Cricetulus griseus: one gene and its partners. The protein of the gene in region 1 purifies or fractionates together with the protein of each later gene. This does not show direct contact. Links are inferred from orthologs where the notes say so. Each region holds a gene or a part of one and is shown in the gene's direction. Other genes may lie near its edges.

The links.
Region 2: the proteins of Fbxo10 (region 1) and Pde6d purify together in Homo sapiens (affinity purification with mass spectrometry; 3 studies listed by BioGRID and IntAct, with this or other methods). This does not show direct contact. The link is inferred for Cricetulus griseus from reciprocal best matches to the Homo sapiens genes FBXO10 and PDE6D.
Region 3: the proteins of Fbxo10 (region 1) and Acsl4 purify together in Homo sapiens (affinity purification with western blotting; 3 studies listed by BioGRID, with this or other methods). This does not show direct contact. The link is inferred for Cricetulus griseus from reciprocal best matches to the Homo sapiens genes FBXO10 and ACSL4.

The regions. Positions count from the first base shown.
Region 1 is NC_048595.1:98,366,561-98,370,977, forward strand, and holds the start of Fbxo10 (F-box only protein 10), read left to right. Parts: upstream 1-1,531; 5' UTR 1,532-1,629; intron 1,630-4,417. UniProt on the Homo sapiens protein: Substrate-recognition component of the SCF (SKP1-CUL1-F-box protein)-type E3 ubiquitin ligase complex. Mediates the ubiquitination and degradation of BCL2, an antiapoptotic protein, thereby playing a role in apoptosis by controlling the stability of BCL2.
Region 2 is NC_048595.1:438,252,403-438,256,491, reverse strand, and holds the start of Pde6d (retinal rod rhodopsin-sensitive cGMP 3',5'-cyclic phosphodiesterase subunit delta), read left to right. Parts: upstream 1-1,279; 5' UTR 1,280-1,447; coding exon 1,448-1,497; intron 1,498-4,089. UniProt on the Homo sapiens protein: Promotes the release of prenylated target proteins from cellular membranes. Modulates the activity of prenylated or palmitoylated Ras family members by regulating their subcellular location.
Region 3 is NC_048604.1:38,224,954-38,228,582, forward strand, and holds part of Acsl4 (long-chain-fatty-acid--CoA ligase 4), read left to right. Parts: intron 1-74; coding exon 75-213; intron 214-1,581; coding exon 1,582-1,732; intron 1,733-1,835; coding exon 1,836-1,959; intron 1,960-3,512; coding exon 3,513-3,584; intron 3,585-3,629. UniProt on the Homo sapiens protein: Catalyzes the conversion of long-chain fatty acids to their active form acyl-CoA for both synthesis of cellular lipids, and degradation via beta-oxidation. Preferentially activates arachidonate and eicosapentaenoate as substrates.

The DNA.
Region 1 (4,417 bases):
TGGGTGCTGGGAATTGAATCTAGGTCCTCTGGAAGAGCAGCCAGTACCATAACTGCTAAGCTATCTCTCCAGCCCAGATGCTTATTTTTCTTTATCTTAAAATTATTTTATGCGTATGTGTGCTTCTCTGTGTGTATGTTTGTGCATCAAGTGTGCCTGTTACCCCCAGGAGACCAGAAGAGGGTCGAGTTACAGAGGGTAGTAAGCTGTCATGAGTGCTGAGAATAAAACCTGGGTCTTCTCCAAGAGCAGCCAGTGCTCTCAACAGCTGGACCATCTCTCCTACCCCCCCTCCACACACACACACACAGCTGCTCTTGAAAATCAGTGACCGTGATGCTAATAGGCATCACAAACTTAAGAAGTTCACAACTGAGTTATTGATCCTCCACCTTTATGTTCCCCTTATGACAGTCCCGTTTTTGCAAATAGCACTTCCTGGATCTATGGTAAGCTAGAAGATTGAATTTTCCCTAGTTTTTCCACAACAGCCCAAATTAGACTCTACTGCAAAACCGTCTCAAATCTGTGAGTCCCCATATCCACACCAGTACTTCAGCCCAATCTCTTGGCTTTCCACTAGAGTAGCAGGGTCCAAACACCCACATTCTCCACCCCTTCAATGGCCTCCACTCTAATACCCTTTGATCTCAGACAGAGCTGGGGGTGGGTGCCTGCACATGGCTGGAGAGGCAGCTTAGTGGTTAGGAGGTAGGTGTATTGCTCTTGCCCAGGATTCCCTTGGCGGCTCACAACTGTCTATATTCCCAGTTCCAGGGGATCCAGCTCCTTCTTCTGGCTTCCAATAGCCCCTGTAAGCACAGAGTGCACACCCATACACAGATTTTTTTAAAAAATATTTTTTTGTTGTTAAAAAAACCGCAACTCTTTGTGTTTCTCTAAGGAGCAATCTTGCCTCCCTTGGCTCACGAGCTTTCTCACACAGACTTTTCCTGCCCCTTTTCCATATGACTACTCTCATCAAGTCCCTCAACCCCTGGTTTTAAACCAAGGCCCCTTCCACGTAGTTCACATAACTTTAAATTCATATGAACTTAAATAGCAGCTTGTGTTTACCATCTCCACCATAGAATGGATTTCAGAGCAGGCGCCATCACAGTTTTGTTCTCTTGGGCCCATAACTAGTAGTGACACCAACAACTACTACACATCATTTACATGCGTCATGCATTGTTATACCAAGAGCTTTCCACACAACCAACCCATGGCCCCAGTGTCCTTCCTGACTTCTAGCCAGGGTCAGTCTGCTCGGCCGCTTAACCCAGCTCCTATGTGCTCATCCGCACCGAGCCCCATGGGCTGTTAGGCTAATCGTGCAGGAAAGGATCCGCGTTGACCGCTTGGAATCCTCCTGCAGTTCTCGCCCACGGATGCTATTCCTGCCCCTTCAGAGGCCACGCTCGCCCTTCTCAGAGCCCCGCTAGCTCCGCCTTGCCTCCAGGCTCGGGTCGCGCGCTCGCAGCGGAGCTCCACCCACGCATCACGTGACAGCTGTCGGGGGCGGGGCTCGCGGCGAAGTCGGTCCTCCTGGCGGCGCGCCGCAGTCCTTGGGCAGCCCTGCGGCTTCCAGGGCGTCGCGGCCGCGGCCCCGCAGCGCCGCTCCCTGAGGTAAGAGCGCGGGTTCCTCGACGCGCCCCGGAGGCCTCCCGGGAGCCCGCTGATGCTCCAGGCCACCGGCCTCTCCGTCCTGCCGTGGGCCAAGCCTGTGGCTGGGGTGCGGGGACCCGGCCTGAGGCAGTGCGGGGGGGAGAGGGGGGGCTTGGCCGCCGGAGCTCCAGGAGAGCCGTGCCTTGGTCCCCCCTCCTTCCCCGGGACCACCCGCGGTCGCCTTCAGCCCCAGGGTTTTGCTGGTGTGCGACAGAATTCATTCTCCTTTGCGGTTTGCAGCCTTCACCTGGGATGCCAGAGCCAGTGTGCAGTCGGACACCCAGTGGGTTTGGTTTTAGCAAATCGCGGAGACTTGGTTTCTAAAATCTTTGAAAGAGGGATAACCGCTGCCCGGCCTCCCTCCTGCATCGAAGAACTGATGGCAAAGCCATTTGATGAGCCAGAACTCTGGAGTTGGTTTTAGTTCCACCACCCACTAGCCAGGCAACCTTGAGCCACGTCGATGGTGCTTCGTTAAAAGTAGAGACAGTACGTCAGCCAGAGGTTGCTATGAGGATTAAGCTGAAGAGATGAGCACGGTGCGGGCACAGAGGGCTCTTTAGTTCTCTCGGCATGAGCATTATTAAAATAGCAAGCTAGAGAGGACTCTCCAAGAGAGACGTCTTTCTTGCAGTAAGCACACCATCCACTGTGTTTGTGATCCTGAAAACAGTACGGGTTTTGGCTGTAGAACCCTCTCCCCTTTCCCAGGCCCCCTTTGCCTTCTGTTTCACATTGGCATGTGAACCTGTTGTTCCTACCGAATGAGTCAGGCAGGATGGGAACGCTAATTTACTTGAGCAGATGGGTATCAGATTCCCTCTGAGGGGAAAGAAAACTGCCAGGCATGTGCTCCCATCAAAAAAAGCACAGTAGAGTGATTGACAGTCTACTGGAAGATGCCTAGGAACCCATGTAATCCAGCTGTTTCCTGCACATAAAGAAACGAGCCAGAAGGAGGCCAGGACTTTGGTTTTGCTCACACTTCAACACTGTTGGCTCTGGGTAGTAGAAAGAATGCTTGTGCTTTCCCATGCTCGTTTATTCCTGCTGCGTATTTGTACGTCGACAAGGAGCTGGATGAGATAAAGCTATGAACCAGACAATGGTGTCTGACCCCATGAAGCTGTCTCCATAGCTGACTATGTTAGTTTGAGATTATATAAAAGTCTGTTTTGTGTGTGTGTGTGTGTGTGTGTGTCTGCTGGGTCTCAGTATGCTTTATGATAACAATAAGTTCCAGCTCCCAGGGAGCTTGCCTCACAGCAGCTGGCCCCAGGGTACCCACATGCAAGAGAGGCTTGAATTGTTTCATGAACCTTGTCACGTCTCCAGGCCTGGTGGAAGCTTGATGAGATTTAGAAACTGGAGAAAATGGTACGTTGTTGAAGCTTTTAGGGAAGGATTTCCACAGGCCTAGAATGCCTGCATTTCTTTGTTCCTCTGGTTTCTGGCCTCTTATTGTTTTTAGCTATCTAAAGAGAGCAGCCTTCAGCATAGTTCCTTCATTTGGTTTCCATGGTTATCAGGGGAATTACATTTTCATGATAGCACCAGTAGCTATTGAGCTGTGTGGCCAACCACCAGTCGCTCACCACCAAGTCCTGCTTTCTGGTTTTGTTTTTCAGTTGTAGTGCAGACATCATCTCCGTTTTCTTTTTTTCCTTCCTTTCATCCTTCCCTTCAATGGTGACAGTGTGAAGAGGGATGGCAATAAGAATAGATAAAATAGAGACAGACCTTGGCCTGGGAGATGGTAGAATCCCTTTTTGGCCCAACCCATTGATGATGATGATGCAATGCTGTGTGTGGCACAGAACTGAGGGCATTGGCAGGAGTCAGGGGCAGGGCAGTGGCCCTCTGGAAAGGTGTAAATGGTGAACCAACTTGAGCTGTCATAGGCAGAGTAACAGTGCCCTGAGCAACAAAGAACACCTCACCCGCTTTTCAAAGGAGATAAGAAAGAAACATGTTCCTTTAATGGGCCCCAGTCACAGAGGAACACTAGATAGCATTTTGTTGCTTGAGTTTGCCTTCATGGATGAGCCTTTTCCTCTTGAGTCACTTACCATGTGCTTTGTGTGAACAAGCTGCTGCTTTCCCTGTTAGCGGGATTTGTTTCCCTACTCACCTGACAATGGGATTGTCAACATAAAGGGGCTAGAGAAACACTTGTTTGGGATCCATCTATTTCAGTTTAGATGTTTAACCTGTTTGTCTTATTTCTCAAGTTGGACACTAATGCAGTCACACATTATTTTTCCAAGTACCCTCCCAAGTCTTCCAAAACCCTCATTAGTAAGGATTCTAACCTCTAGAGAGGCTTCTGTAGCCCAAAGAGGACCTCTCAGAGGAGTGAGAGTGGTAAGTGGTATACCCAGATTGTTATCTGACAGCTATGAGTTGTCACTATGGAGGAGTTGCCCTGCACAGTTCAAGGATGTGTGGTAACTGCTGCTCAGTGCCCTTTAGGGCACTATCTATGTCAGTAAGATCCCCTGTTTGGATCTGAGTTTGCAGCTTTTTTTAGTTCATGCTCACGTGCTTAGCTTTGTGTTCCCCAAAGCTCCACTTGTTGGCCTTTGCCTTGAGTCTGCTGCTTGGCTGGCTTCTTCTAGCTTTCGGGGTCACCACAGATCACTGAGATTCTCCTCTTTTCAAGCCTTTTATCTGAATGAAAGGGCTGTATCTTCCTTCCTTCCTTCCTTCCTTCCTTCCTTCCTTCCTTCCTTCCTTCCTTCCTTCCTTC
Region 2 (4,089 bases), about 340 Mb from region 1:
AAGGAAAAAAATGGGTGGGTGCTCAAATGGATATGGTGGCAACAGAAATAGGAAGATGGCCTAGGGAAAGACATAGCCATCTTTAAAGAAACAGAGGTTAAAATAACTTTACCTACTTTCTGGAAAAAAATCATATTAAATGTCAACTTGAATGACAAAAAAAGCAAATCAAAATAGCAAGACCTATTAGACTGAGGATATCACACTATCACACCATAGTTCTGTTCAGGAAATCCACCAAATAAATGCTTACCTATTCTCTAGGTGTTTCAACACTAGTTGGGAAAACTGTCATTAAAAAGAAAAACAATCACATTGTCATGCTGCTAAAAATATCGCCTCCCTAGCTAGGGTAGTGCAAAGCGAATACATTGCAGGTCAGTAGACTTAAAGCCAAATTCTGTCTCAACTTGCTGTGATCTGTGGCCAGTCTATGCCTCTCCGGTCCTCAATTTCCTCATATTTAAAAACTAAAGATAAAAGTGATTGGGCTGGCAAATTCTTTTAAGTCTTCCTATACTGACATTGGGTATACAATCCTTAGCTCTCCCAGCCCGAAGCTGAAACACAACATAAACCCTGCAAAACACATAAAACTGCACTCCAGGCTAATAAATTAGTACTATTTGAGGAAGTCATTTTGTTCTATTATCTTTCAAGGCTTAATCCGTGGTTTTGTTAGTTGTTTGCAGTCTTACCATGGTTTGCAGACTTCTGAGTTCCGTGTAAACAGAAGTTAACTGTCGGCGGGCTGTCATGTCTCCAGGGAGAATGAGGACCTTCCCGCCGGGTTTCAAGTAACGGGATTCAGAAACGAATCCTACAGAAGGATTCCAAATTTGCGCACCCTGCGCGGCACACTGGAGCCCAAGTTAGAAAGACGGAGCGCAGATTGTGCTGGGATTTGTAGTCCCTGGCTTCTAAGTGGCGAGCTGGGATTCCGTACTCCCTGGGAGCCTGGGAAATGTAGTTTCTGCCACTTTGCACAGAGCAGCCTGCCATAGTCTCAGACCGCAAGTGTGCCCGGCGACGGGAGCAGGCTCCTCAAACCTCTGAAGATTTCCAGCCACTGCTCTCCGCTGGGACAAACTCCAGGCAACAACACGAATGAAAATTCTGTCCTCCGGGACTCCTCCTGGAGGGCCTTTCCCACTGACGCTCTCTGTCCCCGAGCGAAGCCGCTGAGCGTTGCCATTGGCTGCTCGGAATGCCAATCGTCAAGGCTGGCTTGCCATTGGTTTCAGGGCGGGAGCTCCTCGACTAGAGGGAAGGAGAAGGGATCAGGAGCGGGAGCTGAGGGGAGGGAGAGGCCGGTTCGGGTCTGGCCGCTACCGCTGCTCGCCTGAGGTGTCCGGCCCGGCAGCAGCTCCGTCCTCAGTTCCTGGGTACCGTCAGCGAGGCCCCGCCGAGCCAGCGTGGGAGGGCCGCAGGCGGCAGGCGCCGCATCATGTCAGCCAAGGACGAGCGGGCCAGGGATATCCTGAGAGGCTTCAAACTGTATCCGCCCGGGAGCAGGGGCGGGGCCGGGAGGACTTGGGAGGAGGCCGGGGCTTGCAGGAGCCGGGCAGTGGCGGGGCGCCAGGTGGGCACCGGGAAGAAGGGCTGTGAGCGGGGGCTGGAAAGGAACGGCGTGCCGGGCCCCCGGGAGGGACCGCGAACGGGAGGCGGGCACAGGGACGCCCTGAGGGAGGAAGGGGACGTTGACGGAGCCTCAGGGGACGGAACCGGAGGAGCCCCGGGACTGGCTGCCAGAGTTGTAGGCATCAAAAGCCGGTGTCCTGTGGGGCTGGTCCGGACCAGAAGGCTGGGGAGGCGGGGGTCGTGGTCCGCAGGTTGAGGCCGAGGGGGTGCGTCGGGCTGGCCTCCTAACCTGCTTTGGAGCATCTTTGGCGGGAAGCCCATGAGGGAGCAGGGGAAAGTGACTCCAAGCAAGTGACCTTGTGTGAGATAACTGGACATGTTCTTGGGTACCTCATCTCACTCCACCACCAACACCCGTCTTGTTTCCACAACTTCTCTTCCTCACTTGTGGCTTCTTGTAGGGCTGGAGTAGTGGGAAGGTGGGGAAAGAGAAATATAAGACCAACCCCACCTTAACACTTTCTTGGCCTTTGAGGCATTGGATGGTCCCTTTTCTCCTCAGCCTCTCAAGTTATCTTTCCAGCATGATCGTGTGTGTGAGAGATGTCTTGAGGTACTTTGGTTTTGAACTGACTCCTAGCAAAACTATCTTTGTTCCTTGGCATTGCTTCGGTTAATGCTTTATCACAGGGGAGCTGTTCACAGTTAACTTCTGTTGAGGACACCATGTCATATAAGAAATCATTGCCTCGGTGGACTTGGTGCCCAATGCCTGTTTTCCCAGTACTTGGGAGATAGAAGCAGGAGGATCAGAAATTCAGGTCATCCTCGGCTTCATAGTTCGAGGCCAGCCTGAGTTCCTGAAGACCCTCCTTCAAAAAGGAAGAAAAGTGAGGAGGCAGAGAAAATAAACAATTACCTCAGGCCTGTTGTAGTTGTAGTGCGACATTTGCAACCTCTGTATATAGTAAGAAAGGTTTGCAGTGTTTGTTTCGTTTTGGAGACAGGGTCACAGTGTGTAACTTGGCTGACCCAGAACTCTGTGTGTAGACCGGGCTAGCCTCAAGTAGCGATCCACCTGCCTCTGTCTCCGAAGTGCTAGGATTCAGAGTGTGGGCCAGCACCTCCGACTAGAAGCTCTGTATTTTGGTGGAATATTTGCCACCATAAAATGCAAATAGAGTGTATTGTAGTTTTGCCTTCTGCTGACCTTGATCTCTGCTTACATTCCTTCCATCAGTATGGAATACTCATAAGTTCCTCCCTCCGTGCAGTGTACCCATCTCTTACTGAGCCCCTTCTTCCATGAAGGGTTAGGAAGCACTGTTCTCTGAGCAACCTGTTGCATCTTCACAGGACCTGTTTCACCTCTTCCAGGATTTAATTGCTTTGTCATAGTTAGAAACCAAGGATGGTCGGGCATGGTGGCGAATGCTTTTAATCCCAGCACTTGGGAAGCAGAGGCAGGCAGATTTCTGTGAGTTCAAGGCCAACCTGGTCTACAAAGAGAGTTACAGGAAGACAGATGGGCTACACAGAAAAACCATATCTCAGAAAAAAAGGGGGGGAACCAAGGGTGATAGTAAAATTTAGAAAGCTTGGCAAGGCATGATAGATCATACTTATAATTCCCACACTTGGTGACTGGAGCAGGAAATTGTCATGAATTCAAGACCAGTCTAAGCTACAGAATGAGAGACCCTAAGACCAAAAAAAGAAAAAGGACCATAACAAACAAACAAAAAAAAAACCCCACATGTCTAAGAGTGGTGGGGGAGTGGACTGGAAGTATAAACAAGGTCTTGGGTTTCTGTAGCACCAGGGAGAGAAAAGCAACACAGGAAGTTCTATGTGCAAAAATGAAAACACTTCAAGTGCAAAACTAATCTTCTGAGGTTTTGATGGTTTGGTCTTAAGGGCAAGCAAGCCGAGTGTATGAGAAGAAAAGAAACCGTTCCCTGTGGCTGGGAGGGGACTGGAAAATGAGTTGCCCTGCTATGCTGTTTAAAAACAGAAGGCCTTACATATTGCCATTCATGATAAATGCTCAATGATTTTAGATCATGAAGTTTAGTAACAGACCCTTTTATAGTTCCATGGATGTTTCTGTTTGTCTTTATAATAGGGCCCATAAGCAGATGTGGATAGCTGAAGTGTAGAAAAGCTATATAGCATGCTGCCACTACCACCACACCCCACTCAGACTTCTGCTTTCATTTTTTTAAAAGATAATTTTATGTTAGAAACAACTTGACCACTGGCCTCCCTTTGTTGGATTTTTTTTTTCTGAACTGTTTTCAGATTGTTTCTGGAAAAGTTTTTGTGCTTACCACTTATCTTACTTTTCTGTTGCTGTGATGAGACACTGAACAATGGAACTTAGAGAAAAAGTATTGGGACTTACAGTTTCAGAGGGTTAGAGGCTACAGGTAAGTAGGCGTGGTAGAGCTGACATCTGATCCCCAAATATTAGGCAGAGAAAGATAACTGGGAACGTTGAAAGTTTTT
Region 3 (3,629 bases), on another chromosome or scaffold:
CCAGTCCTGTTATTTAATATGAATTTTGATAGTGTACCAAATTGAATAGCTGGCTTTTATTTCCCATTCAACAGGCGGCATTATTAGATATCAGTTGTGTCAAACATATCATTTATGTGGATAATAAGACTATCAATAAAGCAGAGTACCCTGAAGGGTTTGAGATTCACAGCATGCAATCAGTGGAAGAGTTGGGATCCAAGCCAGAAAACTGTAAGTGAATCAGTTAAAGTTAATTTCCCCATTTATTCGTGTTAGCTAATTTAATAGATTAGTAAAAGAAGTGACATTAGTAAAAATGCCAAAGCTGTTTAATGTTAAAAGTGATCAAGACTGTATATGACTGAAATTTCTTTTTCCTTTTTCCTGAAGAAGGCAATCTTGCCTGAATTTTTTGAAGACAACAAGCAGACTTTAGGTTAGAGTTGAGGTAGTCTTTTTTCCTTTAAAACTGTAGTCACAATATGAATTTGTATCATAGAAAAGAAGCCTGTGGGTAAATATTGTATTTTTTCACTGTTCTGGACAGTAAGCATGCCTATTATTCACACTAGAAGAGTGTACATCCTTTGAAAAGACAGTCCAGAGCAAATCAGCACCTCTACTGGCTCAATGCACAGAAATGGAAGAGATCCATGGAGAATTGTCTGTTGTCACCAGGTTGATATTGCAAGATTGGTGTGTGCTTGACTGGGAAGTTGTGATCAGCAGGGCCTTCTACTGCCAGGTCTTAGGCTTCACCAGAGCATGACACAAAAGCTTAGAAGATACATTATCAGTTCTCCCAATTTTGATTGAGAGTTGACATGAATCACTAACATCCATTTGTCTCCATGATAGATAGGATTTATAATTTTTACATGAGTATAGTCATTATCATAATAATAGTATATGTAGAATTATAATATATACTGTAGTTTGGGTTTTATAAGGACACATTTGCATGCTTATTCAAAAATAGAGGAGAAAAGTCGTGTTGTGTGCTTGGTGTGAGGACAATATAATGTGCCAGCCCATAACACTTTGCTGCTGCTTCAGTTCATCCTCAGATGACTTTTACCAATGGCCATGAACTTCCTGAAGGAGCTTTTGCTATAGCCTCTTTAAGTATATAACACTGTTTCTGATCATTTCATTGGTATGCTTTGCTCCCCACCCTTCAAGATGGGGTTTCTTTGTGCAGCCCGGGCTGTCCTAGAAATCACTCTGTAAACCAGGCTGGCCTCAAACTCTGCCTGCCTCTGCCTCCGGAGTGCTGGGATTAAAGGTGTGTACCAACATGCTGGGCTCTGAACCATTATTTAAAGCTAAGGAATCTATACATGGTGCTATTCTTTCAAAGCCTTAGAAACCCTTCCCAGTTCTGTACATAACACTGTGAAGAGGCTTGGTCATTTGGGGCTTAGACTCACCATCCTGATGGAATTTGAAATCTTTATTTCAGTCAACTGAAATTTGGTAAACATACTGTTTATTAATCCAGACCAATTTAGAAATGTTCCATTATGTTGAATGAAAATTCCTTCTTGTCAAGTAATTCACCCTTTGAACTGAAGATATTGTGCTTTTTCATTTATTTAGCAAGCATTCCTCCAAATCGACCAACTCCTTCAGACATGGCCATTGTCATGTACACCAGTGGTTCTACTGGCCGACCCAAGGGAGTGATGATGCATCATAGCAATTTGATAGCTGGAATGACAGGCCAGTGTGAAAGAATACCTGGACTTGGGTAAGAGATATCACTCAACTTAGGAATGCAGAGGTCATAATTAAGTTATGAATTTAAAGTGCCTTTTCAAAGTGGTTAATCTGTTTCTCTTTTTTTGTTTTAGACCAAAGGACACGTATATTGGTTACTTACCCTTGGCTCATGTGCTGGAATTGACAGCAGAGATATCTTGCTTTACCTATGGCTGTAGGATTGGATATTCTTCTCCACTTACTTTATCTGACCAGGTGACAAAATTTCACTTTGCTCATGATTTATTCAGTACAAAGGTCCCTGTGGCATCAAACATAGCTTTCCATGAATAATGTAGTACTAGTGTTGATTTAGGTCCATGTTTTAAAATAATTTTGAAAGAATTACTTTCATCTTTCTGAATTAGATTCTACTCTGGAAAATTTATACTGCAAAGTATATTCATGGAATGGTTGGCATACTGTTCAGGACCATTAACTGGTTCTTGGGAAGAGGTATAGGTTTTAAGCCTAGTTTTCTTCTGAACTTATTCTGGACCTGTGCTGCTAGCCCCATCTTTAAATAGAAATTCATTAAAATTAGATTAAAATTTCTTGGTTTTTTTGTTCTATCTAGCCACATTTCAGGTTCCTGATACCTATGTGACTGATTGCTATCATGTTAGACAGCACAGATACAAATATTTGATCTTTGCAGAAAATTCTGTTGGATAGCACTGTAGCATTTCCAAGGCCAGCCCTCAGCTTTACACTGAACCAGGGTTCTCCTTTCTCTCTTCTTGTTCATAGCAGAAAGCCCAACAATGATAGCACTAACTCATAGTTTAAACACATTTGAAATTACAGACAGAAAATAGCTTTATGAAGACAACAATTGAGTTCTACCTATGTGGTAGAACCTATGTTGTACTTCTTATTCTTACAGATTTCACTGTTTTTTGAGAGCTAGTTTTCTTTCCTATATTAGCCTGGTTAATGCATCATTTATCCGAATTTGTAAATGACTAGATCACATTATAGGAGTTTCTTACTTTTCTCTACTTTTTTCAGTGAGTGACTATATTAACTTTCTACCTGTCATTAATCTGACATTTGAAATTATGTTACTTCAAACAAATTGTGCACATTGAGGTGTGTATCTTCATGTCACCACATGCCACAAGCATGAGCCTTACTATGTTACCAACCAGAATATTATCAAATTATTACTTCTGTGTGACGTTAATTGATGTCCATAGTGGTTGTTTTCAGATACATCGTTGTCTTTTGAGTAATCAAAAAAAGTTAAAAATTCCTCCAATGTGCCAGGTGTGGTGGCACATGCCTTTTATCCAGTACTCTGGAAGCAGAGGCAGACAGATGTCTGTAAGTTCGAGGTCAGCCTGGTTTACAGAGTTCTAGGACAGCCAAGGCTACACAGAGAAACCCTGTTTCCAAAAACCAAAAAAGAAAAAAAAAGCCTTTACCTTCAATTTTGTTTTAGTGATAAGTCTGCTTAATGGGGCTTTTTAAAAATTGACATTTTCTTGAAAATTAAGTGTTAATATTTGATGGTGCATTAGTTCACCAGAATGTCTGTTGTTATCCTGGGTCAGTTTCTCTTCTGGAGAAGGCTGCAATGTGCTAGAAATGAAACAAATAGAATAAAATAGAGGAATCACATAGTCTGTGGACTTGCAATAGATGCTGCAATAAAAGATTAAATACTGTGCGTAAATTCTGTCTTTGTTATTAATAATTGAATTAGGCCCCCTACATTTTTGCTAACATCTGTTTCCCTGATTATATTTGTTTTTTCACTAATATAGTCCAGCAAAATCAAGAAGGGAAGCAAAGGTGATTGTACTGTGCTGAAACCCACTCTTATGGCTGCTGTTCCGGTGAGTACAGAATAGTCACACAAATAGAAAAGGGTCATTTATAAT